Linked DNA regions of Nothobranchius furzeri. The protein of the gene in region 1 purifies or fractionates together with the protein of each later gene. This does not show direct contact. Links are inferred from orthologs where the notes say so. Each region holds a gene or a part of one and is shown in the gene's direction. Other genes may lie near its edges.

Region 1 (8,441 bases):
TTTTTGCAACGTTGACCAAGGATGACATTAACTGGTACAATTATATTTAGGTTTGCTGGGACAGGTTAGCTTTAGCAGTTCTTCAATACACTTGTTTGCAATGCATGCATGGAATTCATGCATCTGACTGTTGCCTGTTGGGCTCTGTTTTTTTCTACTAAATAATAAATACTGTAATTTTAGTACCAGTAACATAGTTTGAATTTAAAACAGCTCTACAAAGTCCTAAAGAATACCTTGAATAAAACAATTTAGGCATTTCGTTTTTGCCAAACACTGGAGTGAGTTTGTTTGTTATAGAATAAAAATATAAATCTGTTTTAAAGGTTGAGAAGATTTAATAACTCACTTCAAATTATCTTTGGGAGAGATGAATAGAATGGAGGCATAATGGAAAACTAAACATGTTGTAACAGTTTGCGTCCAGCAGGGGTCACTTATTCTCTCTTCTCTACGTTGGAGGTGTGAGAGGTCGAAGCGAAGAAGTCTGATTTGACAACCTCAAGCTGTAGTAGTTTTGTTTCTGCCTGTCACCGTCTGACCTGAGGATTTCACCTGCACAGTTTTTATTTAATAAGCACAAATAAAGCTGGTGACCATCAGTTCACCCGAGAAGATCACAGTGATTTTAAAATTTTGAGGAATCCTGAAGTTCGTCCTGGTAAGTGTCTACAGAAAGGCTATTCTCCTGCTAGCATTAGCTGCTTTAGCGTAGTGGGAAGCATGATGGTTGGTGATGTATTAATCCATTTTTAAACTACAGCTTCTGATTTTCGTTGCTTTTATTAGGTTCCTGTTCTTTTTTAGTTACGGTTCACACAAATTCCAAACTTCCCTGATATTTTTAACTTTGTCACATTAACTCTTACTTGGCTAACGAAGGCGCAATTGTTATTTTTTTTAATTTTCATCTATTGTCAGAAGTCTTTTAAAAAATATTTTCTATTGCAGCTTTGGCAGCTAGGCTCTTCTATGTTATTACTTTCCATTTCACTAACATATATTTAAGTTAAATGCCTATTAAATGGATCACATGTTCGCCAAGAAGCTAACAAAGCTAGCCTTGTTTGCTTTTAGTGTTAGCTTTTAGCTAGGCGTACTAAAAGGCTAAATTGTACTTCTAAGAAGGTAAAACACGGGATAAAAACTTTATTTTTTGTCGTATTAGTAGTGACATGAATAATATATGACGTACATTGTTCGTGTTGCCATACAGACAACGAATTTTCTCCCATTTATGTGCTCGAGTCAAAAAAACCTGTGTTGTATAACATTCTCTTTTGTTGCTAACTATTTGCTAAACTGCAGAAACTAAGTGCTATAAATTAAACATTTAATTGATTTATATTCTCTAGATAGATCGTTTCCCTCATTTTAAAAGTTTAACTGTTGGATTTTTACCACAAAATAGAGGAAAAATGTAGAAACCGTTGGGATGCTCTGTTATGATCGATTTCGCATGTGTGAATAAAAGTGGCTCTTGATGGTTTTGATCTGGGCATGTCTGTCATGCTTACCGTTGTTTGTTACTTGAGAGGTGATGTTGCAACATGGTTGCATCAGCCCCACCATCCCTATTTGTGCTTTGCATCTTGGGAAAATCTATTTTATGGTTTAGATCGTAAATGCACAGGGGGGTGACATTTATGAATAGCAAAAGACTATGTACTTCCTTGCATCTGCACACTCACTGTGATAGGCATAAACTGTGGCTTTTTCTGTCTCATTGAAATATTTGGTCAGAAAGGAGGAAGTCTTGTGGAAAGAGCCAGCCATCTTTAGTTATTACAACACGGTTACTGATTAACAGAAGTTTTCTCTGTTCTGTCATTGGCTCTGGTTGTAAATGACAGTTACAAGTTCATTCAAAGTGAGGTTGGTGCTGCTTTTACAACTGTACTAATATCTACAGATTAGCAGCACGTGCTTCATCGTTATGTAACTGTGTCGCTGGGTTTTGAAGCAGTTACACTAAGAAGAATGGATGCAGTCTAAAGATCTGTGGAATGTTTTGAGATAGTGGTTTTTGGCTCCGCTACGCTGATAATGTCTCTGGGATCTGTGAAGCCTGGAGAGGCTTTCAAGTTTGGTATTTTAGCAAAAACTGAAAAGAGGTAAGCCTTTTGCTTTTGGGGTTGTATTTCTTTTTTGCTCCAAATTTCTCATTCTTGCTTTCTTATTTATCTTATATCATTCTTGCTATCTTGAAAATGTATTTTTAAGTAAGCTAGGTTTCTATGGGACTGCTCTTTTTTTCGCCCTCATCCACAGTGGGCCAACAAATCCCACAAGAATAGATTTTCCCGAATGGTCACTGATCACCTGCCAGAATGGCTGAAAGGAGCTCAGATTCACCGCACTGTGGCTGCTGCGTACAAACACTAAATTCTTGGCTGCTGTTCATTTTCCGCTCCGATTGAGAAGTGCTGTAAGACTCCTCCAACCTTGCTATGCTTTTAATGCATGAAAGACTGAAGTGTGTGACCACGGGAGGAGGAGGGAATCAATGGGAGGTGGCCTCAAGACCTCTATCCTGTTCGTTGAGTTTCCGATCAGTTCAATCCCAGATTAGTTTACTGACGGAGATGCTGCTGATCCTTTGCCAAATCAGGCCTTCCAGCTGCACCCACATAACCCTGGAGAGTACAGCAAACTGGACAAACAGACCAGAGATGGAGACTTTCATCCAGAGTTTTTTAAACGAATGCTCGGCTAAACCGTGAGCGAGGCAAGAACCTGGGTCAGAGGCGCCGGCACTGAAAAGGCTTGACTTCAAACAACCTTTGTGAAGTCTTTGTGGACGCTTGTTGTAGCTTTGTTTACTGTAAAGCATATTTATAACAGCAGATCAAGAGACTCCTGAGGAGAGTTCCTCCCAGGGAATGTTTCCGTCGCTCCCGGGAGGACAAGCCAAGCAGTCGTGCACTCTGCCTGAGCCAAGAAGGGAACACTATGTCAACTGTAATGCACAAGTTAGGCTAAAAAACCCCTGCACTGCTGCCTTCAGAGGACGTAAACAGGTGGCATCCCGAGAGACAACCTGGTCTCCCATCAGCAGGTACAGTGGTGTTGTGACTGACACGGGGGCTGCTGTGTTGGGGCATGCTTGACATGTTGGCTTGTACAGCTTAGTGACATCACAGACAGGAAAATGATTAAGTAGGATCATGAATAAAACACTACTAATGCCATGCAACAGCAGCAAACGCTGCAGCAGCAACTCCGTCTGTTAGCTCAGCGGACGTGAGACGAGCTGAGATTGAGTTGGCGTGGGGAAGCGGAACGGACATTTGTGTTTGATGTGAGGCGAACTGCCCTCAAGGCACAGATTTCAAACAACGTCGGAGCTCATGTATAGATATCAGTGTTCAGTTTGTTCTCAAGCAGGGAGGGATGTTTGTGGAAAGGGTGATTTCCACAAGTGACATCGAGTTATCAGTTGTCACATGTTTTTAGGCGGTATGATGCTCTTTCCAAACAAGCATCATTTATGAGTAGTTGATTTAGAGAATCTCAAAGATCAGAAATGCTGAAAACGTGGCAACAGTTGAAAAAGTGCAGGCCTGCCGTAGCTCCAGACGGAGCTCTTCAATCAGGGTTGATCAAAGCTGCCCATTAGCATAGCTAATGGAGAAACAACAGAGACAGACAGATTGATGCTTGATTCAAAGCTTTTGCGCAAAAATATTCCTTTAAAGGTCTCATCCATTCATTTTTTTCTATTAATCTGCCGTGGTTTCTATTAATAAATCTTAGTGAGTCGTTTTCTATGGAAATGATCTGACGCTCCTGTTACAGGAAGTAGAAGTTTGTCGGAGGAGTGATTTTCCAACATGCCTTGCAAGTCGTTTTCTGTGGAGAGAGGTTTTGGTGTTCCTGTTTTGGGGTTGGAAGTTTGGCAGAAGAGTGGGACGAGAGGGTCTTGTTCATTATTATTCATGATATGCGAACATCTCGCCTCTGATTGGCTAACGGCACCACAGCTTTTCTTCTGCCTTTGTTCGCTTTTTCTTTCTTGGGTAAAAAAAAAGCAACATTGGTGTTTTATCTCCACAAATAACACACACCTGATTGTGTTCTCCCATGTTGAGTTGCTAGTGGTTAGCTTATACTAGGCGAGATGCTGTCCGCTGTTTCCTTCTTGTGTAAGCCAATGTGGGCCGGGTCACAAACACTAATTTTCTCTGTGACATAGAAGCAATCTGCCTTTTCCTATCAGATCATTTCATGTCTCTTTCTTTTCTGTGACAAATGCAGATGATGGGGATTGGAGAACATTTTCACATTCAGCATGCATGAGTGACCAATCGCCTTTCTGAAAGAACAATTTTAAACAGTTTCTTGGGGAAGCAGACCTTAAAAATCTTTTTTTTTTTTTGTTTGTGAATTGTATTAAAATTGTTTCTCTGTGAGAAACAGAAATTACCAAGTGATCAAATGCCCGAGTCGGCATGTATGCAAAACCTCTGCCTCCGTGCTTTTTCACCTTCATGTAAATAACCCCTGTCTTCTTTGAAAGGAAGCAGCATGAAAGCTGGTTTTTTCCCCCCAGGCGTGATCAGTTAAATTTGGATATTTCCTTTAGCGGGAATGTGCCCACACCTTTTGGATCTCTGAAAGAGCTGTGTGTCTTAAGTGGTGTGTAGCATGCAATGGCAGTAGAAACCACTCTGGAGGAAAAATGCAGCATGTCTTTATTCATGGTGTGTGTGGTGGATGGAGTAAGTCAAGTCATCTTTATTTATATAGCACTTTATAACAGCATAAAAGCTGACCAAAGTGCTTAACAAGACAAAATGAACAGAATTTCCTCAAAAATTCTAAAAACAAGATAAAAAGTTAATCACAAGGTAAAATCATGATAAAACAAACATATCAAACTGACATAAAAGCTACTAAAAACAGATGCATTCTCAAACTGAATTAAAAGCAACTGAGAACAGATGAGTCTTTAAGAGGGATTTAAAACCCGACAGTGATGAAACCATCCTAATCTGAATCGGGAGTGCATTCCACAACCTTGGAGCTGCTACTGAGAAAGCTCTATCACCCCTGAGCTTTCTCTTTGTTCTCGGCACCTCCAGGAGAAACTGGTCGGCTGACCTCAGTGACCGAGACGGGGAGAAAGTTACTAAAAGCTCACACAGATACTGCGGAGCAAGGCCATGTACAGCTCTAAAAGCCAATAAAAGAACCTTGTACTGGACCCTATAAACCACAGGCAGCCAGTGCAGCGAAGCTAAAATTGGGGTGATGTGCTCCCTCTTTCTCGAACCCGTCAATAGGCGTGCTGCTGCATTTTAGTAAATAAAGATAAGTCTTAGCTTTAGAGATTTAGTACTATATTTACTTTGACAAGAGGCTCCATGAAGCTTATCTCTGATTCGTGTCGCATAAAAAACTTTATAATTTGACAGGATGTCCACAACTCAAATGTATTGTTTTATTTTATTTAAAAGCTGTGGAGCTTTTAGATTAAATCTTTCAAAACTTTCTGGGTTCAATACGCAGTCTTGATAGTTTTTGAAGGGATATTCCACTCCTGAGTGAAATTTAGTTTGTGGCCACATTGCTCAGAGTTACCCCTCTATTTCACGCTGGAACCATCAGAAGTATGAATGGCGACGGAACTTCGCTGCTTCAAATTGAGTCCATTTTAGTTTATGGGGTGATTCAAACCGGCAACTTTCAGGCGCGTCCAGAAGCCCCACGCATTGCTAAAGATAGGATTGGGTTCAATTTTTGCCACGAGCCGCTTCTGGGACACCTTCAAATTCTGCAGTTAACATAGGTAGATAGGAAATCACACAGTTTTGGTGTAAAATCCCTGCTAATTTTCAAAATAAATGTACTGCAGCGATGCAATTATATATATATATATATATATATAGCTTCCATGTGACCCAACAACTTATTAACTCCCTGCATCGTTCGAGAAATGCAGCGGTGTGTCTTTCATGGCATTAATCGTGGCAGTGGAGAGGAACATAATATATCAAACAGCGATATCAAATGTGATTTCTTTTTTTTATTTTTTGGTTTAAGAGCGGATAACAAACAAACCATTGACCTTTGAAGTCTAGAGGGATTTTGGGATCTCACAAGTCCAGCGAGGAAGCTGTTCTGTAGCCAAGACTCTCGGTGTGTACTGGACCGCATTGAAACTCGCGAGTAAGCTGTTATGGGCCGCTGATGCTTCCCGTGTGAAATAGGGGTTAGATGAGTGGGAAAGGCATTTTGTAGCCAGCACAGTCATGGTAAGTTGCACTGAAGGTACATGACAGACTGGTGTTGAAATGCTGTCCCATGTCTAGGGTTTTGTGCAAAGGATCTAACATGTTAAGAATAATAATGCATAAATAATATAAAAATAAAGTGTTAATACTAACATAAAAATAACGGCATAGAATTATCATTGTTTTTCATAGAATATCTTCATATTTTTAGATTTTTTTCCCTAGTTTCCTACAAAACAACAGAGAATCAGAGACACAAACATTATTGACCAGACGGTTGATCAGGCACTTAAAGGGTTAAAACATCTGCTTTTGTTTATGGCTATAATTCTGTGAGGTCATTAAAATGATTTCCATAATTTTTGTCTCAAGGTCCCTGGATGCTCTGCGGCGCTCCGTCCTCGGCCGCCCAGTTCTTCCCAATGGCCGGGAGTTGACCACGCCCACAAGGATGACGCTGCGCGAGCAGCTGAGAAAGAAGATCTCGGCGGCCTTCTACCGCCACGGGCTGCTGTGTGCCTCCTACCCAGTACCCATCATCCTCTTCACCTCCGCCAGCATCCTCACCTGCTGGTTAGTCTCTACTGGTGGATTTGTTTCTTCCATCCACGTTGGATTTTTAAGGAGTCAAATAATGTTTCATTCCCTGCAGTAGGATTTTGTCATTCTGGTCAAATTAGTTCTGTTCCAACAAAAGCATACCCTCATTTGTTCCATCTTACTAAATAAACTGTAAAATCAAGTCGACTCAGGTCATCCAGTTCAGGCACACTGAGCTTCACAGAATTAATGAAAAAACGGGTTCAGTTCAAGGCCATCTGCACGCAAACACACACACACACACTCACAAAACAGTTCCCTGCTGACACCGCCACACAAACGCTCACTTAACATGTGCACACACAGTCTCTGCTCTTGTTGAATTTGCTAAGTCACTAGTCTACAGAGGGGGGCATAGGTCAGAGACTTGGCTGGGCAACAATCAGCAACAATCTCAGATCTGAAACACACATGTACACCTGCTGTGTGCTGTCCTGTAAGCTCATTACAGCTGGGGTGATGGCCGAATGGACGACTGACCACCCGTGGGGGACTGTCTGCGGGTTGGTTAAAGGCAGGACCGGGGCACAGGGCTGTGAGAAAGTGGCCCTGTGAGAATGGGATGCCTGTCTCTTCATCTGCTTGTCAGGAGGGGGGCTGGTGAAAACAAAAGAAGCTTTTGTGGAGGTACAGTGACCTAGGAGAGCGGAGGAGGCTGGGGAAAGCATGGAGAGAGAGAGAGAGAGAGAGAGAGAGAGAGAGAGGGAGAGAGAGAGAGAGAGAGCGAGAGAGAGAGAGAGAGAGAGAGAGAGAGAGAGAGAGAGAGAGAGAGAGAGAGCGAGAGAGAGAGAGAGCGAGAGAGAGAGGGAGGAAGGGGGTAGAGGTTTCTATTCAATAGACAAGCACACGTTAAACGGGGGAGAAATATTTGTACATGAGTACAAATGAATATTTAGCCGATAATTAACAACACTGATTCATCGTATGGGCCATTCACAATAAGGAATATTGTGTGGCTGTATTTGTTGACTTGGCTAAAGCCTTTGACTCTGTGGACCATAACACCTTAGCAGGCTCAAACATAAAAGGACTGTCTCAGGCCTCCATGGCATGGTTTAGAAGTTGCCTTAAGCCGTACGCAGTGAGAACTGAGGGTTACCAATCTGCTCCTCTACCTCCATCTATGGGCGTTCTTCAAGGGTCGATACTGGGCCCTACCTTATTCAAAATCTATATTGATAACTATTGACAGTTCTCATACATTTATATGCGGACGACACTATTTTATATTTATGCAGTCCTTCCTTGAACACAGCTTTGTCCTCCTTGCAGCACAACTTTTAACTGTCTTCAACATTCTTTCTCCAACATTCATCTTCATTTAAATACAAGTAAAACAAAGTTCGTGATCTTGAATCGTAGCTTACCGCAATCAACAGCCCACCCTAGTATTGTTTCCCTGGATGGTACAGACCTACAGCTTGTCAGTTCCTATTAGTATTTAGGGCTGCAACTAACGACTATTTTAATAGTCGATTAGTCACCGACTATTGAAACGATTAGTTGACTAATCGGATAATTATTAAATTTTTCTTAAATTTAGCATGAGATTGCTTTAATTATGTGAAAAATGATAATAAACGCAAGAAAGATGGGTACTTCAAT
Region 2 (8,240 bases), on another chromosome or scaffold:
TTTTATGTTAACTGTCGTATTTGTTTTTTCTGGGCATTTTGAAGGAATGCCAGATCTGTATTTTTTTTCCTTTGTTTACAAGTTTGCTATTTTTGAAAGGGAAGAGAAACCTTCATAAGGAAGAATTCACTTTGTACAGAAATGTTCTTTCTGAGTAACAGCATTACTTGTTTGAGATGAACTTGGGTTGATTGTCAAGCTTATAATTGCAATTATTTTCAAGAATATCCGATTTATCAGCAAAAAATAGGACTTTAACAATTAATATGATTTCAAATATAATTAAAACCGCATAAGATAATGGGTCAGATTTTTTTTAAGTTGGGCTGTTTTAAAACATTATTAGCGATTTATGTCTTACCTGTTGTAAATCGAGTTTTGAACAACCTGGATTTGGAAAACCAAAGATGAGTTCGGATCAGACGAGCTAACGGCTAGTTGCAAAATGGATTACAGCAATCCTTAAGGACTCCAATCGTAAGACGTTCACAACTTTGATACAAATGCTAAAACTTAGCTAACTACAGTGCTACAGCTAGCTAGCTCAGTCGCTAATTTTTCACCCCCAAATAACAGTGTAATGTAAAATCAATTCCAATGGTTCCTAAAGCTTTTAGATTTATGATCCACAAAATTACAATGAAAAGGTTTGCAAGTTTGCACGCATTGGTATAGTAAAAACATAAACAGATCCCATTCATATTTGAATTTTTGTTTTTATTTTTCACATGCATAATAGTGAAAATAATAAATTAGGAATTGATTTTTTTTTACAGAAAATTTCAAGGAATTAAGTTTTGTGGCCCACAGTTGGATTCCAACTCCAAATTTGGTCTCAAATTATTCTGACTAGCCATTTGCCTATCAGTTCAATCAGAAGTAATCTCCATTTCTCCAAACCGGGGCTGATCAAAGACAACAGATACAATATTAAATGTTCACACACTTCAAAAGATCAAACTATCCCTCTAAAGGACTAAACATACACATTATAGTGATCCACGGTTATAGAGTGGTTTAGTAGATCCACTCCCACTTTCCTTTAAAAAGCAGCTGAAAACTCACTTGTTTAAAGTGGCTTTTGTATGACCTTCTTCACCCTCTCTCTTTATTCTGCTCTCCCCACCTATTCCACCTTCCTCAGGATCCACTGATTTCCCTCTTTCCTATTCACTCTCTCATTCTTAACATTTTTTTAATCACAATTGTCTATTTTTTTGCTCATTAAAATATATTTTTAAACATTTTCTAAATTCTTTTTTTTATATTTTTACATTTTTTGTTTTTGTGAAGCGCCTCGTGATTTTTATCTTGAGAGGCGCTATAGAAATTATATTTTCCTCCTCCTCTTCTTCTCTTCTGCATTATACCTCTAACTTAACCCTCCCACTGTCCTCAGAGGTGACCCCACCAGGAAAGTTGACCATTGAGCAGGGTTGATGGTTTATTCCTTGAGGTCCACGTGGAAGGGGTGAGGAGTGAGCACCACCTCACAATTTGTCTTTAGTGTCCACCAAATCACACGTAGAACCCAAAAACATTTCTGTTCATTTTAATAGTGGATCCGACCTAAATGTCCATAAGCATTTATGAAACCTGAATTGAAAATGTGGACCAGTTGTCAGTATGGACCTTCCATTAGAGGGAAATATAGATGCAAAATGTCATCAAATGAATGTGTGTTTATGTAATCGTAATAAATATGTATTTTAGTTCAGGAAATGTGTTATTATTGAGCTTTACCTTAACGCTAACGTTATATACGGTTACATAATGTTTAATATGGTTGTTAATATGCCCGTTTTATGATTTTAAAGCTCTTATAAGTCATAAAGCACAACTACAGATACTAAATTGAGATAATTTAACATCTGGCTGTATTTCCTGTCTCTCCTACGAGTCTGTGACCGTGTTGTTTTGCTATTACTTAACAAAGGTTTTGGTTTTCTGAAAGTACTGAATGGCAGGGTGTTCAGACAAGGTTTGGACATGGAAAACTTGAAGCCAGATTCCTGTTCTTGGAAAATGTCATGTCTGTCTGCTGCCTGCCATCACTGATGTATGGTCAGATCTGTGTTTGACCTCATGCACGTGTGTAAAGGCCCAATAAAACACTAGCATTGTGTGACCTCTACCTCATAACTCTGTTATTATTGAAGCTTCTTAATGCTCACGCTGATGCAACCCTGCTTCAGTCTCTCAGTACAACGGGCATTTGTAGTCATGTGAGCTTTTCAACCCACCCCAACACAATGCATGGAGGCTTTATTAATATTGTGTTAATTATTTATTGATATTTTGTTTATTTTTCTGCTAATACAAGTTTCTCCAGTATAACTGTGCTGCTTCCACTTGTCCACTTTTGCGACAGAAACACATGATGTAATCACCGAACGCAGTGCTATGATGTCAGATCACCCCACTCGGTTTCTCAGCCTCTGGTTGGACGATTCTACTGGTTCTACAGGAGGAGCTTATTCTTCGAGTCAAACAAACAAACATACTGTTGGCAGGTCCCGCCTACTTTACTCTCGTTGGCTGTTTAGGAAGGCAAGCCCATAAAAACATATCCTTGCAGTTTCACTTCATAATGTTCATTTAGGTAAATACGTGTGTGTGAAGGTTGATATGATAGTATGCGAATGATTAAAAATAATATTAATTCAAGAAAAGAGCCCAATAATCGATGGATTAGGGATTTCCTTTTGCCTCCAGCGGTTTCCTGAATAACCAAAACAATCATGTGAAAAGAGGACGTGGGAATCCACTTCCAAGCTACTGATTGGCTGGCTTATGTGTCAATCATTGATGGGGCCGGACAGTTCTCTGCGGCTTCTGCCTTACGGCAGCACGTTAGTACTGAAGTGCTGAATGAGCTTCAGTGTTTGGCTCGGTTTGACAAGTTTCCCAAAGCTCAATATGGAGTTTAGATGTTAGTTAACGTATTGGTTGAAAGTTAAAGCGTATTTACATGTCTTTCAGGAAGACCTGGACCTCAAGGTTTTATCTAATGTAGGGACGAGGAAAGTTGAGGACTTTTTCCCTTTTCTGTGCGATCAACCTGCAAGTGAAGTCTGGAAAAGCAGACACACGAGTGAAGATGAATCGCTTGTCTTTTGACGATTCTTCGTTGGATCACCTGGATCCAACACTATCGCTTCATGATCCGAGTGATATAGATACGGCCCTTTTAAGCGATATTGATGGTAAGAAGAAATAATTGTAGCTCTTGAAATACGTGGCTAAAGTAATAATGCTGCTGGTACTTCTCTTGCATGGCATATATATTTACGTTTTCTGCGTCATGCAAGCCCTTGTTGAACACAGAATCATCAACTCGGAGCATTTTTACACTTGCTATCATTAGCCATTTAGCTAGTCCGCTTGTTTAGGAGCTAACTGAAGCAGCCACTAGACCTCCTGTTGGCTTTATTTGTTATTATACAGTGCAAACGCCGTAGTTCTAACCGAACTGTAAAATAGTTATTATTATTACTATAATTCAGAGCGAATTAGCTTTGAGGTTAACGTGTCCGCCCCGCCCCCAGCATGCTCGCTCGGAGGTTACTGTCGTTCATTCCTCTCGGTTCAGCTACCTCAATTGACCGAATTCTCAGTTGCGTTATATTTGTCCCAAATTCATAATAAGTTGCTTTTATGTGCTTTAAACGTCCATGTTTTGGTTTATTTCTGTTTTAAAAACATTATCTTATTAAAATTGTTGATGAGCAAGCAGTGCTGCTGTCAGGAGAGTGGACTTTAACAGATATTTATTATTAATAATACTTTGTAAAGAATCTTGGTGTGTGTTTAGTCATATCCTAAACAACAACGTGTAATGTGAAAAGTGGTATTTTAGCTAAACACATCCCGCTGGCCAGTTTTGTACACCTGACCGAGAATAACCTTTCGGTGATGTTGCTCGATAGTAACCTCTCGCTGTCTTGGTCTGAGTTTGAGAGCTGTGCTCTGATTGGCTGAGAGCGATCACCTCATACACAACACCGGTTTACAAATGCAGCCTCCTGCCTTACACAGCAGACATACATAACACGCACGCACGCGCGCGCATATTTTCAAAGCTTCTGATAATTATTTTCTCCCAGCAATTCCCACTGAAGGCATATTCTTGGGAAATATTTAAAAAATAATATGATTTTTATGATTATTTTCATATCTTTTACATTTTCTGCTGCTGCAGAAATGCTTGAATGTTAATTTGATGAATTTTCTTTTGATTTTCATACTAAGGTGTAGTGTTTATAATTTTCATGTAATTTTCTATTGTTTGGCTTTAACATTCATAAGAGTGCAGGAACAAACATGTAAACAATTCGTAACAAAATAAAAACCGGTAAATAAATAAAACTATTGGTTTTATTTATTTGGTATTTTGTCCACTTTAGACTCCGTGTCTGTTTTTTTCCAGGGATAAAATCTGAACTAAGTTAAATGTTTACCAGGATGTTGGATTCTAACTTGATGTTTATCCACTTGGGCTTGACATTTGACCAGTTGCAGCTTCATTTGCTGCAGACCTGAGTGAGGTTTTCTGTTCTCCTTTTACCTTTAGACCAGCCTTTGAGTGTAATCTCTGATCTGTCTGAACTGAAATCTTGTATATTTAAACCCAGTAAGAATAAATAATGCATAATCTAGATTTGAATGTAGGGAATCGGTTGTATACACTGAGAAATATTTTTCTAATTTAGATAACATTTTCTCTGCAGACATGCTTAATCTCATCAACAACCAAGACATGGAGTTTAGTGGACTCTTTGATCCAGGTCCCTTCACTGGAGGCCCCCCCACCCAAGAGATTGCTCCCTTGACCCAGCTGATCACCCCCGCGGCTCCTCCAGCTACCACCACCACACCTGCACCTACATCTTCCATCCTAAGCAGTAACCCCCACCTCGATGCTCTTTTGGGCCCTCCTATCACCCGTAGCTCCTCCACCCCAGACAAGACCTTTCAGCCTCCCACCTTTCAGCAGTCTCCTGTATCCCAGGTACCCAGCTCCTCCCCAAGGCCGCAGCCATCCCCCCCTCCACAAACTCAGGGCCTCAGGCAGCCTCAGGTGGAGCCTCCCCAGCCCTCTATCAGTCCTCCCACCCCTGCTCAGGCAGCTTCTCCTCTTGGATCACCAGGACCAAGTCCGTCATTCACCTCCACGACACAGCCTCTTTTCACCCTCGTTGCACCACAGACTCCACCTCAGATGCAGACACCACCTCAGACGCAGACACCACCTCAGGCACAGAGCAGCAATAAGAGCCAAATTACCTACACAGGTATGTATTCTTTTACGATAACGAGCAGTTTTTCAAGCTTAAAAATAAAATGCAAGAAATAGATCATGTTGTGCTTTACAATCAAAACAAGAGAGAAATAAATGTGCAGTGCAGAGCTAATCCACAGGAGTTCAAGCAAAAGCTGGTCTGAAGAAATGGTTTAGAGTTGCTTTTTAAAGGAGTTCACTGATCTGAGTCTCAGAAGGAGAGAAATAGTTACTGTAAGGTCATTTCTAGGGTCTGTGTGGCTTTAGACTCTCAATAAGACCCTTAAACCTTTTTGCAGGTGAGATGATTTAAATATCACCTGAATCAGGCCGCTAGGTTTTTCAACCTGGGCTGATGACACATCTGGTGTAATCGATCTGAGCGTATTCAGCAGGTTGCCTCTGCAGCGCGTGTCTACAGAATGGCTCAAAGAGCAGCACAGAGTCTGACTCGAAGATGTTCTCCCAGTCCAGCGCCAGCCTAATGGGAGGTCATGTTTGTCCCAAGCAGTAAATGTTTATTAGTACATGACAAATCACCCACCACGATTCAGTATTTAAAGTGCAATGGTTATCCACGCTGGATTTGATAAGAACTGCAAGATGACTTCATGAATATCGTTATCAGGAATGCAAAAGTAGGTAAAAGGTCACCAGTTTACCTGCTAACCTACTGACAAAAAGGCCTGTGCGACATCTATATAGGTCTGATGGTTCATAAAATGGGAGTTTTTAGTATCTGGATGAATCTAAATTTGTAAATTTTTTAATCTTTTTTTTTTAACTAATTAAGATTACTGTAGATTTTTTTGCCTCTTTCAGTCAGTCCTATAATTTAGGGATGAAAGTGCTGATGTCATTCTGCTGCTTTACTTTTACGTTTTGTTACAGCAAACCATCTAGCAGGTGTGCAAAGTAATGAATGAAATTTACTCGCGTTACTGTAATTGAGTAGCTTTTTTGTGTATTTCAGTCTGTCCTTTTACTTGCATATTTTTTAAAGAACTTTGCTACATTTTCAATCATATGTGTTACTGAGTAAAAAAAGGGGCTTAATAATAAATAAAAATTGTTGAGCAGCGTCGAAACAGAAAGAGAGACACCCTCACGTGCGCAGCGTCAGGACTTTTAACAGCCACACTTTTCCCACAGTTTTGCTCAGAAACATCAGTCCGGTCCCTGTGATGATCTTGCTGTTTACCCCTTTCTGCCTCCCTCTCCTGTTGGTTGAAACCAACCCACACCTTTGTGCACCGGTGTTACGTCAGTATTCTGCTTGGTTTGGTAGCTGGACTCGGTTTAGCCTTTGAAATGTGTTTCTCCAACTGCTCATGGCAGTGGCAAAAGAACGTTTAGCGCTGATAAGCTGATTCCCAGTGCTTTACTTATAGAACAGGAAACTTGCAGCCTCTGTGAGTTTAAACATCTTGCTTTCTGCAAACACTGCTGCTAACCACTTAAACATTCTCACTCTCCTGGTAATAACATTTTACTTTCTTTGACATGGAATGTGCTGCTACTAGTTTACCTGTTGAATGAGAGTTGGGCAATAAGTCGAAAATTCATCGTTATCGAAATTTCTGACTCTTATCGTGATCATTTTTCCCATGTCAATAAATTTGATAATAAAAAATTGAAAAGATTTGTGTAGGTTGGCAACACTCATGTCCCTTTAATTCAGTTCAATTGATTGCTGTAGTAGCTCAGAATTAGGGCTGCACAATATATCGAAAAATTATCGTCATCGCAATAACAGGACGTGTGATAGGCCCATCGCAAAACACGGCAAAAACAGCGATGAATGTTTGGTTCAAACATTTCCATCCGTGTCACACATCAGCATTTTGTAAACCAGCTCTGTTTTTTATGCGGAAGTATTATTTGACCAATCAAATGTAGTCCTTCTGATATGCGGCCAATCAGATGGGTCCGTTCACGTAATACGCCTGCCCCCTACATAGACCCTTTTGGAAAGCAACACCTGAACAGAATTAGCGGCGCTGTTCCCTTGTTCGTCATGCTGGCTCAGAGCAACGAACGCACTTTGTGCTGATGTTTCTCAATCAATCAATCAATCAATCAAAGCTTTATTTAGTTTCTGCTTTCAAACGTGAACGTGACTCTGCTCGGTGTCATTAATCATTTTTACCGGGCTGACTCCGACACGTGCCGGTGAACCAACCCACCTCCCATGTCGCTAGTGTTAGCCCCAGGCTCTGGTTAGCTTCCTGCTAAAAGGCTACAGCACTCTCTTCCCAGTCCCACCCTGCTAAAGAGGGCCTGGAAAAGTTCCCCCACACATCAAAGTGATTTTTCATTTATGAGTTTTTATAACCTTGTTAATCAGGATAGTTGATTTGCTGCTGCACATAAACTGTCAGTCAGAAGCTCTGCTAGCCGGTTATCTTAGAGGAGCTAGTTCAATTTGTTAGCTTGTTATCAGAATCATAGTTGCAGTTTCATCATCTGAGCTGCTTTTTAAGATCTAGGTAAACTTGTTCAATTTGGGGTTAAAACCAAATGTTTTCACATGTTTTGCCAGTTCCTCTTCTGAAAGGTAGACAATTGTTTTTCTCTTTCCCTCAAAAAATCTTAATATTCTTCTAGTTTGGCCCAGCACAGTTCACTTCCCAATTACAGCAACAGCCTTATATCAGAACCACATAAGTGGAGAAAATGTTCAGTAGCAATGAGAGAATTTGCTGTTGCATTTAAGTGATGTTAACTATTATTTAACATTTAAACTTATTTTCTGATTTTTTTATTTATTCTAAAATACCTGGTAAGGGATGTTTTTCTGTATTTGGAGCATCAGAAAAAGTTTTATGGTGGTGGTGATGTTTTAAAGTCACTGAGAAACTGCATGCATGCAGTTTGTTGTTTTGCTGCTAATACAGTAGCAGGTGCAGCTGCATATTTTTGCAATAAAAATGTTATGTTGTAATTAAATTCATGCATT
Region 3 (8,535 bases), on another chromosome or scaffold:
TAGAAGACACACAGGAGGATGTTCGGGCTGTCACGCGGAAGAGGAGAATAACGGTGGTGGACATGCCAGGTTTTGGGGACACCCACCTCAGTGTGGAGCAGACTCGTGCAGAGATAGCTAAATGTGTGTGTGTGTCTGCCCCTGGTCCACACGCGTTCCTCCTCGTGGTGCCAATAGGACGATACACAGAAGATCAAAACCAGGCTGTCAGCCAGCTGACCTGCATATTTGGAGAAGAAGCTGTCCGTCGTCACACGGTGGTCCTTTTTACCAGGGGGGACGACCTTGAGGGAACTGGGATTGAGGAATATGTAAGAGAAACGGCCCCTGCCGGTCTTAAAGCTCTGATCGACAGGTGTGGAGGCAGATACCACGTGTTCAACAACAAAGACCCGAATAACTCCATGCAGGTTAAATGGCTGTTGAGGAAGGTGGATGCAATGGTGCAGCAGAATACCGGGAGGTTTTATACTAATGCAATGTTTTTAGAGGCAGAGGCCGCCATCACAGAGGAGCTGAGGGAGCGAGGCCAAGCCGAGGGGGAGGAAGACCAGGTTAAAGTTGTAAAACGAAGAAAGTGTGACTTGGAGTCCAGTGGAGGAGATTTTAGAGTCGAGAGGTGGAGTGAGGAGAGTAGGAGGAGCGCCTTCGGCCTCCTGCGTGACCGGTTCAGGGGGAGGCGTCAGGGTGTTGGCAGGCGGCACTCTCTCCGCCTGTCCCTGAGTCGTTTGAGGAGGGAAGCTGCACTCTCTGCCAAGGTGCTGAACAGAGTTAAGATCCTGGTGGTGGCTGGAGCAACGGGCATGGCGGTCGGCGCCGTGTTTGGGGCAGCTGCCCCTTTAGCCGCTGCAGCAGGGGCGTCCCTAGTAGGAAACTCCGTATCCTTTGCAGCAGGGCAGTTAGCCGGGATGTCGGCAGCAGGAGGCATGGGTGTCGGGAAAGCGGTAGGAGCCGTAGTGGCTGCAGCTTCTGGAAAAACAGCCGTGGCCCTTGGTGCAGCAACGGGTGGAGTTTTAGGTGGTTCTGTGGGAGCTGTTGCTGGTGCTGAGGCTGCTAGTCCTCAGGAGGGCGCTTTAGATGCCCTGGGCCAGGTTGGTGCCATAGGTGGGTCTGCTGTGGGAGTGGCAGCATGTGTGGGCTGTGCCCTGGGAGCTGGTGCTGCTTTTAGCTCAGCAGCTCTCCTCGCAGCAGAACCTGTAGCTCAGGGGACTTTAGCTTTAGCAGCACCGCAGCACGCCGTGGCCTCGGCTGCTGCAGGAGCTGGACCTCCTCAGTGTGCTGCAGCTTTAGCTCAGGCGGTGGCTACGCATGCCCCAGTGGTGGCTGGATCAACAGGGGCTGTTTGTGATCCATCAGGGCCTGTGGTGTCCTCGTTGACCCGGGGGGCTGTTTCAGACCACTGGGGCACCGTGGCAGTAACTACTCGTATCTTGAGCGCTGTGGCTGAGATTGGGAAAGCTGCAGCAGGCATTGCTCTGGCGGGTGGTCTGGTAGTGAAGGTGGTGAAGGAGAAAGTGAGATCTGGAACAGGTGCGACGGAAGCCAGCTACTCGGAAAAGAAGTCCTGTGAGATTTATTGGAACAGATAAAAGTTAAAGGCCATATGTGTCCTTTAACAGCTTTTCTGTTGAAATATTCAAATAAAGACATCCACATAATCTGATGCGCTGTAAACCCGACCAGGTCAAACATCACATTAAAAGTGTTTGAAGCTGTTCATGGCTGCTGTGGCATTTAATCTTAAGTATTTTGTTTTTAGGGAGGAGATAACCACAGATGTCTTCTAAATTCACTGTTGAATTAAATCTCATGCTAAAGGTTGTCACATGGGTTTGGAGGGAAGCATTTAGTCACAATTCAAACAAAAAAAGGGTAAAATGATGATAATAAAGATGTGGTTAACAGTGTTGGGAGTAACGCGGTGCAAATGTAATTAATTACTGTAACGCATTGCTTTTTGCTGTAATGTGGTAATAAGGCATTACAGGGAAAGAAAATGGTCATATTTACTCGGTACAATTGTCAGAAACACAGTAATTACAATGCATTTTTAAATCCAGAAGCAAGTTGTGGGTTTCTTCAAAATTCAAATTGCGGGAAGGCCAGGAAAGATCCAGTATCTACATATATGACGTCATTTATGGACTCAGAGTTGCGGGCATCCTATGAGCAGAGAGGACGCAGCGGTAATGGCTCCTGCATTCACAAAATGGCTCCACCAAAACAAAATAATTAATTTGCGATCGTTCATATCAGCCCATATTCTCTGGTGCTTTCTGTACTTTTCTGACGTGCTTTGCCTCAGCTGAGTTCATAATCTGCGCCCCGGTGATTTGAACTCATTGCTGCTGGAGCGCAGCACATATTAAAGAGCAAGTCACCCCCAAATCAACTTTTTTTTCTGATAAACTACATAAATGTGTGTCTAATCGTGCTGCAGACACGTGTAGTCAATAGTTTTGCACTTTAGTGCATTTTAGTTAAAATTTAAATTTTCTGCCTAAAACTGTCAGTGTTGTGCCGTTGTCAGGTAAAAACTCTGCACTGCATTTGAATTTAAATCTGCCATCGCTATTGGCTAAGAGGTACCCTAGAACGTTAGCTGGTACCATATGATGTCACAATGTCGTTGTGAGCCTGTGTGTGTGTGTGTGTTAGCGACTCTGCTCTCTCGGTCTGCTAGGCAACAGCATTTGTTGCATTTTTCAAACAGGAAGTGGGAGTGGGGTAATACTCTGATAGGGGGTGACTTGCTCTTTAAAGAGGGCCGAATTCGTCAACCGCATTTGAAGGAGTCTTCGAATTGGGACAGGCCTGGTCGCGGCACTGTGAGGTAAACGGCCGACGAAGGATGCAGACCCTGAATTGAGACACAGGCTCACGACAGCATTGTGACATCATAATGTACCAGTTTACATCATAGCATACCTCTTAGCCAATAGCTGTGGCAGATTTAAATTAAAATACAGTGCAGAGTTTTTACCTGACAACGGCACAACACTGCCAGTTTTAGGCAGAACATTTAAATTTTAACTAAGGTGCACTGAAGTGCCAAATTATTGACTACACGTGTCTGCAGCACGATTAGACGCTCATTTATTTAGTTTATCAGCAAAAAAAAGTTTTTTTGGGGGTGACTTGCTCTTTAAGCTTTTTTTGCATTCGGTAGATCCCTTGGCTGATTAGGTAGAAAGTAGGAAACTGATTTTCTGGAAGACGGAGAAAAGATGCAGCATGCAGGAAGGTTAGAGAGAGAGAGGGCCAGAAATCATTCAAATAAAATCAAGAAAATAAAAAAAAGTGCTTGAAAAGAAAAAAAAAGTAAGTAGATTTATCCCCAATACACATTTTTACCACTCCATCCATCCATCCATTTTCATCTGCTTATCCGGAGTCACGTCGCAGGGGCGGTAGCCTAAGTCGAGAGGCCCAGACTTCCCTCTCCCCATCCACTTGGGCCAGCTCTTCCGGGGGAATCCCAAGGCGTTCCCTGGCCAGGCAAGAGACATAGTCCCTCCAACGTGTCCTGGGTCTCCCTTTAGGTCTCCTCCCGGTTGGACGTGCCCAGAAAACCTCACCAGGGAGGCGTCCAGGAGGCATCCTGACCAGATGCCTGAGCCACCTCAACTGGCTCGTCTCGATGTGGAGGAGCAGCGGGTCTGCTCCAAGCCCTTCCCGGATGGCCGAGCTTTTCACCCTATCTCTAAGGGAGAGCCCAGCCATTCTGTGGAGAAAACTCATTTCGGCTGCTTGTATCCGCGATCTCGTTCTTTTGGTCACTACCCAAACCTCATGACGATAGGTGAGGGTAGGAACGTAGATCGACCGGTAAATCGAAAGCTTTGCCTTGACTCAGCTCTCTCTCCACCACGACAGACCGGTAAAACGCCCGCATCACTCCAGATGCAGCACCAATCTGCCTATCGATCTCACGCTCCAGTTTTCCCTCATTCATGAACTCCTCCACTTGGGGCAGGACCTCATCCCTGACCCGGAGAAGGCGTTCTACCCTTTTCCGAATCAAGACCATGGTCTCAGCTTTAGAGGAGCTGGTTCTTATCCCAGCTGCTTCACACTCTGCTGTGAGCCGCTCTAGCGAAAGCTGAAGATCACGTTCTGATGAAGCCAACAGGACCACATCATCTGCAAATCATCTGATCCTCAGGCGACCAGAACGGATCCCCTCCATACCTTGGTTGCACCTAGAAATCCTGTCCATAAAGGTTATGAACAGAATCGGTGACAAACGAAAGCCTTGGCGGAGTCTAAATGATAAATGACCCGCACTTCTATAGTGCCTCTCAGAGTAAGGACTCCAAAGTGCTTTACACTACAGTGTATCATTCATACATTCACACACTGATAGTGATGAGCTACAATGTAGCCACAGCTGCCCTGGGGCACACTGACAGAGGTGAGGCTGCCGAGCACAAGTGCCACCAGTCCCTCCGACCACCACCAGCAGGCAAGGTGGGTTAAGTGTCTTGCCCAAGGACACAACAGCAGAATTCTCTGTGCGGAGCCGGGATCGAACCTGCAACCTTCCGATTACTGGACAACCTGTTGAGCTACTGCTGCCCACTGGGAACGAGCCCGACTTACTGCCGGCAATGCGGACCAAGCTCTTGACACCGGTCATACAGGGACCTAACAGCCCGTATCAGAGGACCCGGTACTCCATACTGCTGGTGTACCCCCCAAAGGGCCCCCCGAGGGACACGTTCAAATGCCTTCTCCAAATCCACAAAACACATGTAGACTGGTTGGGCAAATTCCCACGCACCCTCCAGGATCTCCCTAAGGGTATAGAGCTGGCCCAGTGTTCCACGGCCAGGACGAAAACCACATTGCTCCTCCTGAATCTGAGGTTCAACAATCCGACGGACCCTCCTCTCCAGAAACCCTGAATAGACCTTACCAGGAAGGCTCAGGAGTGTGATCCCCCTGTAGATGGAACACACCCTGCGGTCCCCCCTTTTAAATAAGGGGACCACCACCCCAGTCTGCCATTCCAGTGTGCCTACCCCAATGTGTACGTGATATTGCAGAGCCGCGTCAGCCACCACAGCCCCACAACATCCAGAGCCTTAAGGAACTCCGGGCAGATCTCATCCACCCCTGGAGCCTTGCCACAGAGGAGCTTTTTAACCACCTCAGTGACCTCAGCACCAGAGACTTGAGAGGCCAACCCAAAGTCCCCAGACTCTGCTTCCTCACTGGAAGACGTGTTGGTGGGATTGAGGAGGTCTTCGAAGTACTCTGCTCACCGATCCACAACGTCCTGAGTAGAGGTCAGCAGCACACCATCCCCACTATAGATAGTGTTGGTAGCGCACTGCTTTCCCCCCCTGAGGCTCTGGATGGTGGACCAAAATCTCCTCGAAGCCATGTGGAAGTCTTGCTCCATGATCTCACCGAACTCCTCCCATGCCCAGGTTTTTGCCTTGGCGACCACCCGAGCCACGTTCCGCTTGGACTGCCGGTACCTGTCAGCTGCCTCTGGAGTCCCACAGGCCAAAAAGACCTGATAGGACTCTTTCTTGCTTGACAGCATCCCTGGGTTCAGGGGTTGCCAGAACGACAGACACCGACGATCCTGCGACCACAGCTCCGGTCGGCCGCCTCAACAATGGAGGCACGGAACAGGGTCCATTCAGACTCAATGTCCCCCGCCTTCCCCGGAACATTTTGGAAGTTCTGTCAAGAGGTGGGAATTGAAGCTCCTTCTGACAGGAGACTCTGCCAGACGTTCCCAGCAGACTCTTGAGATACGTTTGGGCCTGCCTGGTCTGACCGGCATCCTCCCCCACCATCTGAGCCAACTCACCACCAGGTAGTGGTCAGTTGACAACTCCGCCCCCTCTTCACCCGAGTGTCCAAGACATGCGGCCGCAGGTCAGATGAAACAACAACAAAGTCGATCATCGAGCTGCGGCCTAAGGTATCCTGGTGCCAAGAGCACATATGGACACCTTTATGTCTGAACATGGTGTTCTTATTGACACTCCATGACTGGCACAGAAGTCCAATAACAAAACACCACTCGAATTCAGATCGGGGGGGCCGTTCCTCCCAACCACACCTCTCCAGGTCTGTCGTTGCCTACGTGAGCATTAAAGTCCCCCAGCAGAACGAGGGAGTCACCGGAAGGAGCGCTTTCCAGCACCCCCTCCAAGGTCTCCAAAAAGGGTGAGTAGTCTGAACTGTAGTTTGGTGCGTAAGCACAGACCACAGTCAGAACCCGTCCCCCCACACGTAGGCGGAGGGTGGCTACCCTCTCATTCACTGGGGTAAACCCCAACATACAGGCACCAAGATGGGGGGCAACCAGTATGCCCACCCTTGCTCGGCGCCTCTCAGTGGGAGCAACTCCATAGTGGTACAAAGTCCAACCCCTCTCAAGGAAACTGGTTCCAGAGCCATGCGTTGAAGTGAGTCCAACCATATCTAGTCAGAACCTCTCAACCTCAGGCTCCTTTCCCACCAGAGAGGTGTCATTCCATGTGCCAAGAGCCAGCTTCTGTAGCCGAGGATCAGACCGCCAAGGTCCCCGCCCTCGACTACCACCCGTCACACACTGCACCCGACCCCTTTGGCCCCTCCCACGAGTGGTGAGTCCATGGGAAGGGGGACTTATGTTTCCTCTTCGGGCTGTGCCCAGCCAGGCTCCATGGGTGAAAGCCCGGCCACCAGGCGCTCGCCAACGTGCCCCACCTCCAGGCCTGGCTCTAGAGGGGGGCCTCGATGACCCACGTCCGGGCGAGGGAACACGGTTTCCATTTATATAATTCATCATAAGAGGTCTTTGGGCTGCTCTTTGTCTGATCCCTCACCTAGGACCTGTTTGCCATGGGTGACCCTACCACAGGCAGAAAGCCTCAGACAACTTGGCTCCTAGGATCATTGAGACACTCAAACCCCTCCACCACGGTAAGGTGGCAGCCCAGGGAGAGGAAAACTTAAATTTTAACTAAAATGCACTAAAGTGCTAAACTATTGACTACACGTGTCTGCAGCACGATTAAACATGCATTTATATCGTTTATCAGAAAAAAAATGTTGATTTGGGGGTGACTTGCTTTTTAACCAGCACAATAACATGAGTTGTTTTTCTTGAATGATGTGCTAACATGATGAGCTTTATTGCTGCAAAAATTTAGAAAATGGGCAAAAAGGCTGAAGAATTGAAAGTGTTTTAAATGCTAATGGCTAGCTTTGAGTGTACTGTTTCAAATCCTGTAAAATGTGTTCATTTAACATCTTACAAGAACAAGCGTGTTATTTTTGCTCTTAAAATTGCCGTAAAGCTTTAAAATCTAATTCCATGTTTGCTTTTATCGAGTGTTATATGTTTCGATGATAAAACGCTTGTTTTATTTTAAAAAAATGATAATACGTATTTGTAGTTTTGTTTTTGCTGCAATAAATTAAAAGAATCAACACCTTTAAGTATGAAGTTTTTTTCTGTGCCACTTTTACAAGAAACGTGATGATGTTTTTATGTTGATAAATATTGATGCGTGTTTAAACATTCGTTAAATTGCTTTTGTTTATTATATCCTTGGGCTTTGCCTTAGATAATTTAAATGAACATTCTATTAAATAACGTGGAGCTAATACGTGTTGTTTTCACACTCATCCTTGTGATCAGCCTCGTGAGGTATTTGTAAAATGATGGAGGGGCGGTTTTCAAATGACACACCAGCTTCTGATGCTTGACGTACTATCAGACCACAGTGAATGCGACATTCTCATTGGACGAAGACGACTGGTCTCATGACAAGAACGGCCGAGTTTTAACCAATCAGGCGGCTTCTTGGGCCACAGCTTTCGATTGTGAATGACGTAATTAGCGTAAAACAAGATGGCGTCGCCATGGCAATTAATCAGTGAAGATGAGTTTATCGGCGTAAATGTCTGCCTCTCTTGAGGCTTTGGTGTCGTTTTAAGGTTATTCCGGTAAAAGTCGGGATTTTAATTCGGATACGTTCGTTGTTAGCTTCGGGGAAAGGCGGAAGTGGAGGCTAGTGGTGTGTTTTAGTCCTCGCGACCCTCCTGTGACAGTTGGAGACGCGAGTCGCTGACAAACAGGATGGACACCGGAGAGTACATCAGCCCGATGGAGACCATGGACCCGACTTTAGCAGAGCTAGGGGACGAATTCACTTTGGGAGACATCGATGGTGAGTTGACCTCTCTGCCTGCGCGGTTTGTTGTTGTTTTCCTGAGAGTTTGGCTTGTTTCCATGTAGGAGCCCGTCTAAGCTAGTCTACATTAAAGGTTTATTTATTTAGCCGCTAACATGCTAGCCCAATAGTTTGTGTTGCTTAAATGTGTTCGTCCTTTTGCTGCATGCATCTATGTTGCTTTGTGTGATGATTGGAGTTCATTTGTGGTGATTTATGTTTATTATCAGCCATCTGTGAGGTTGAAATTGCTTCTTGGTGACTATGTTTACAGACTCTCGTCCCTTTTTCTATGAAGCAAAAGCGAACGGCAAGAAGCGCGTCCCGTGTCCGGAGGCAACAGATGTTT

What was found.
Region 2: the proteins of scap (region 1) and srebf1 purify together in Homo sapiens (affinity purification with western blotting; 4 studies listed by BioGRID and IntAct, with this or other methods). This does not show direct contact. The link is inferred for Nothobranchius furzeri from reciprocal best matches to the Homo sapiens genes SCAP and SREBF1.
Region 3: the proteins of scap (region 1) and srebf2 purify together in Homo sapiens (affinity purification with western blotting; 3 studies listed by BioGRID and IntAct, with this or other methods). This does not show direct contact. The link is inferred for Nothobranchius furzeri from reciprocal best matches to the Homo sapiens genes SCAP and SREBF2.

What each region holds. Positions count from the first base shown.
Region 1 is NC_091745.1:65,123,261-65,131,701, forward strand, and holds the start of scap (sterol regulatory element-binding protein cleavage-activating protein), read left to right. Parts: upstream 1-2,654; 5' UTR 2,655-2,882; coding exon 2,883-3,058; intron 3,059-6,608; coding exon 6,609-6,809; intron 6,810-8,441. UniProt on the Homo sapiens protein: Escort protein required for cholesterol as well as lipid homeostasis.
Region 2 is NC_091752.1:55,498,111-55,506,350, reverse strand, and holds the start of srebf1 (sterol regulatory element-binding protein 1), read left to right. Parts: upstream 1-2,721; 5' UTR 2,722-3,100; coding exon 3,101-3,206; intron 3,207-4,730; coding exon 4,731-5,294; intron 5,295-8,240.
Region 3 is NC_091752.1:67,062,086-67,070,620, reverse strand, and holds the start of srebf2 (sterol regulatory element-binding protein 2), read left to right. Parts: upstream 1-3,016; 5' UTR 3,017-8,092; coding exon 8,093-8,183; intron 8,184-8,535. Other genes in the region: uncharacterized protein, read left to right, coding at 1-1,589.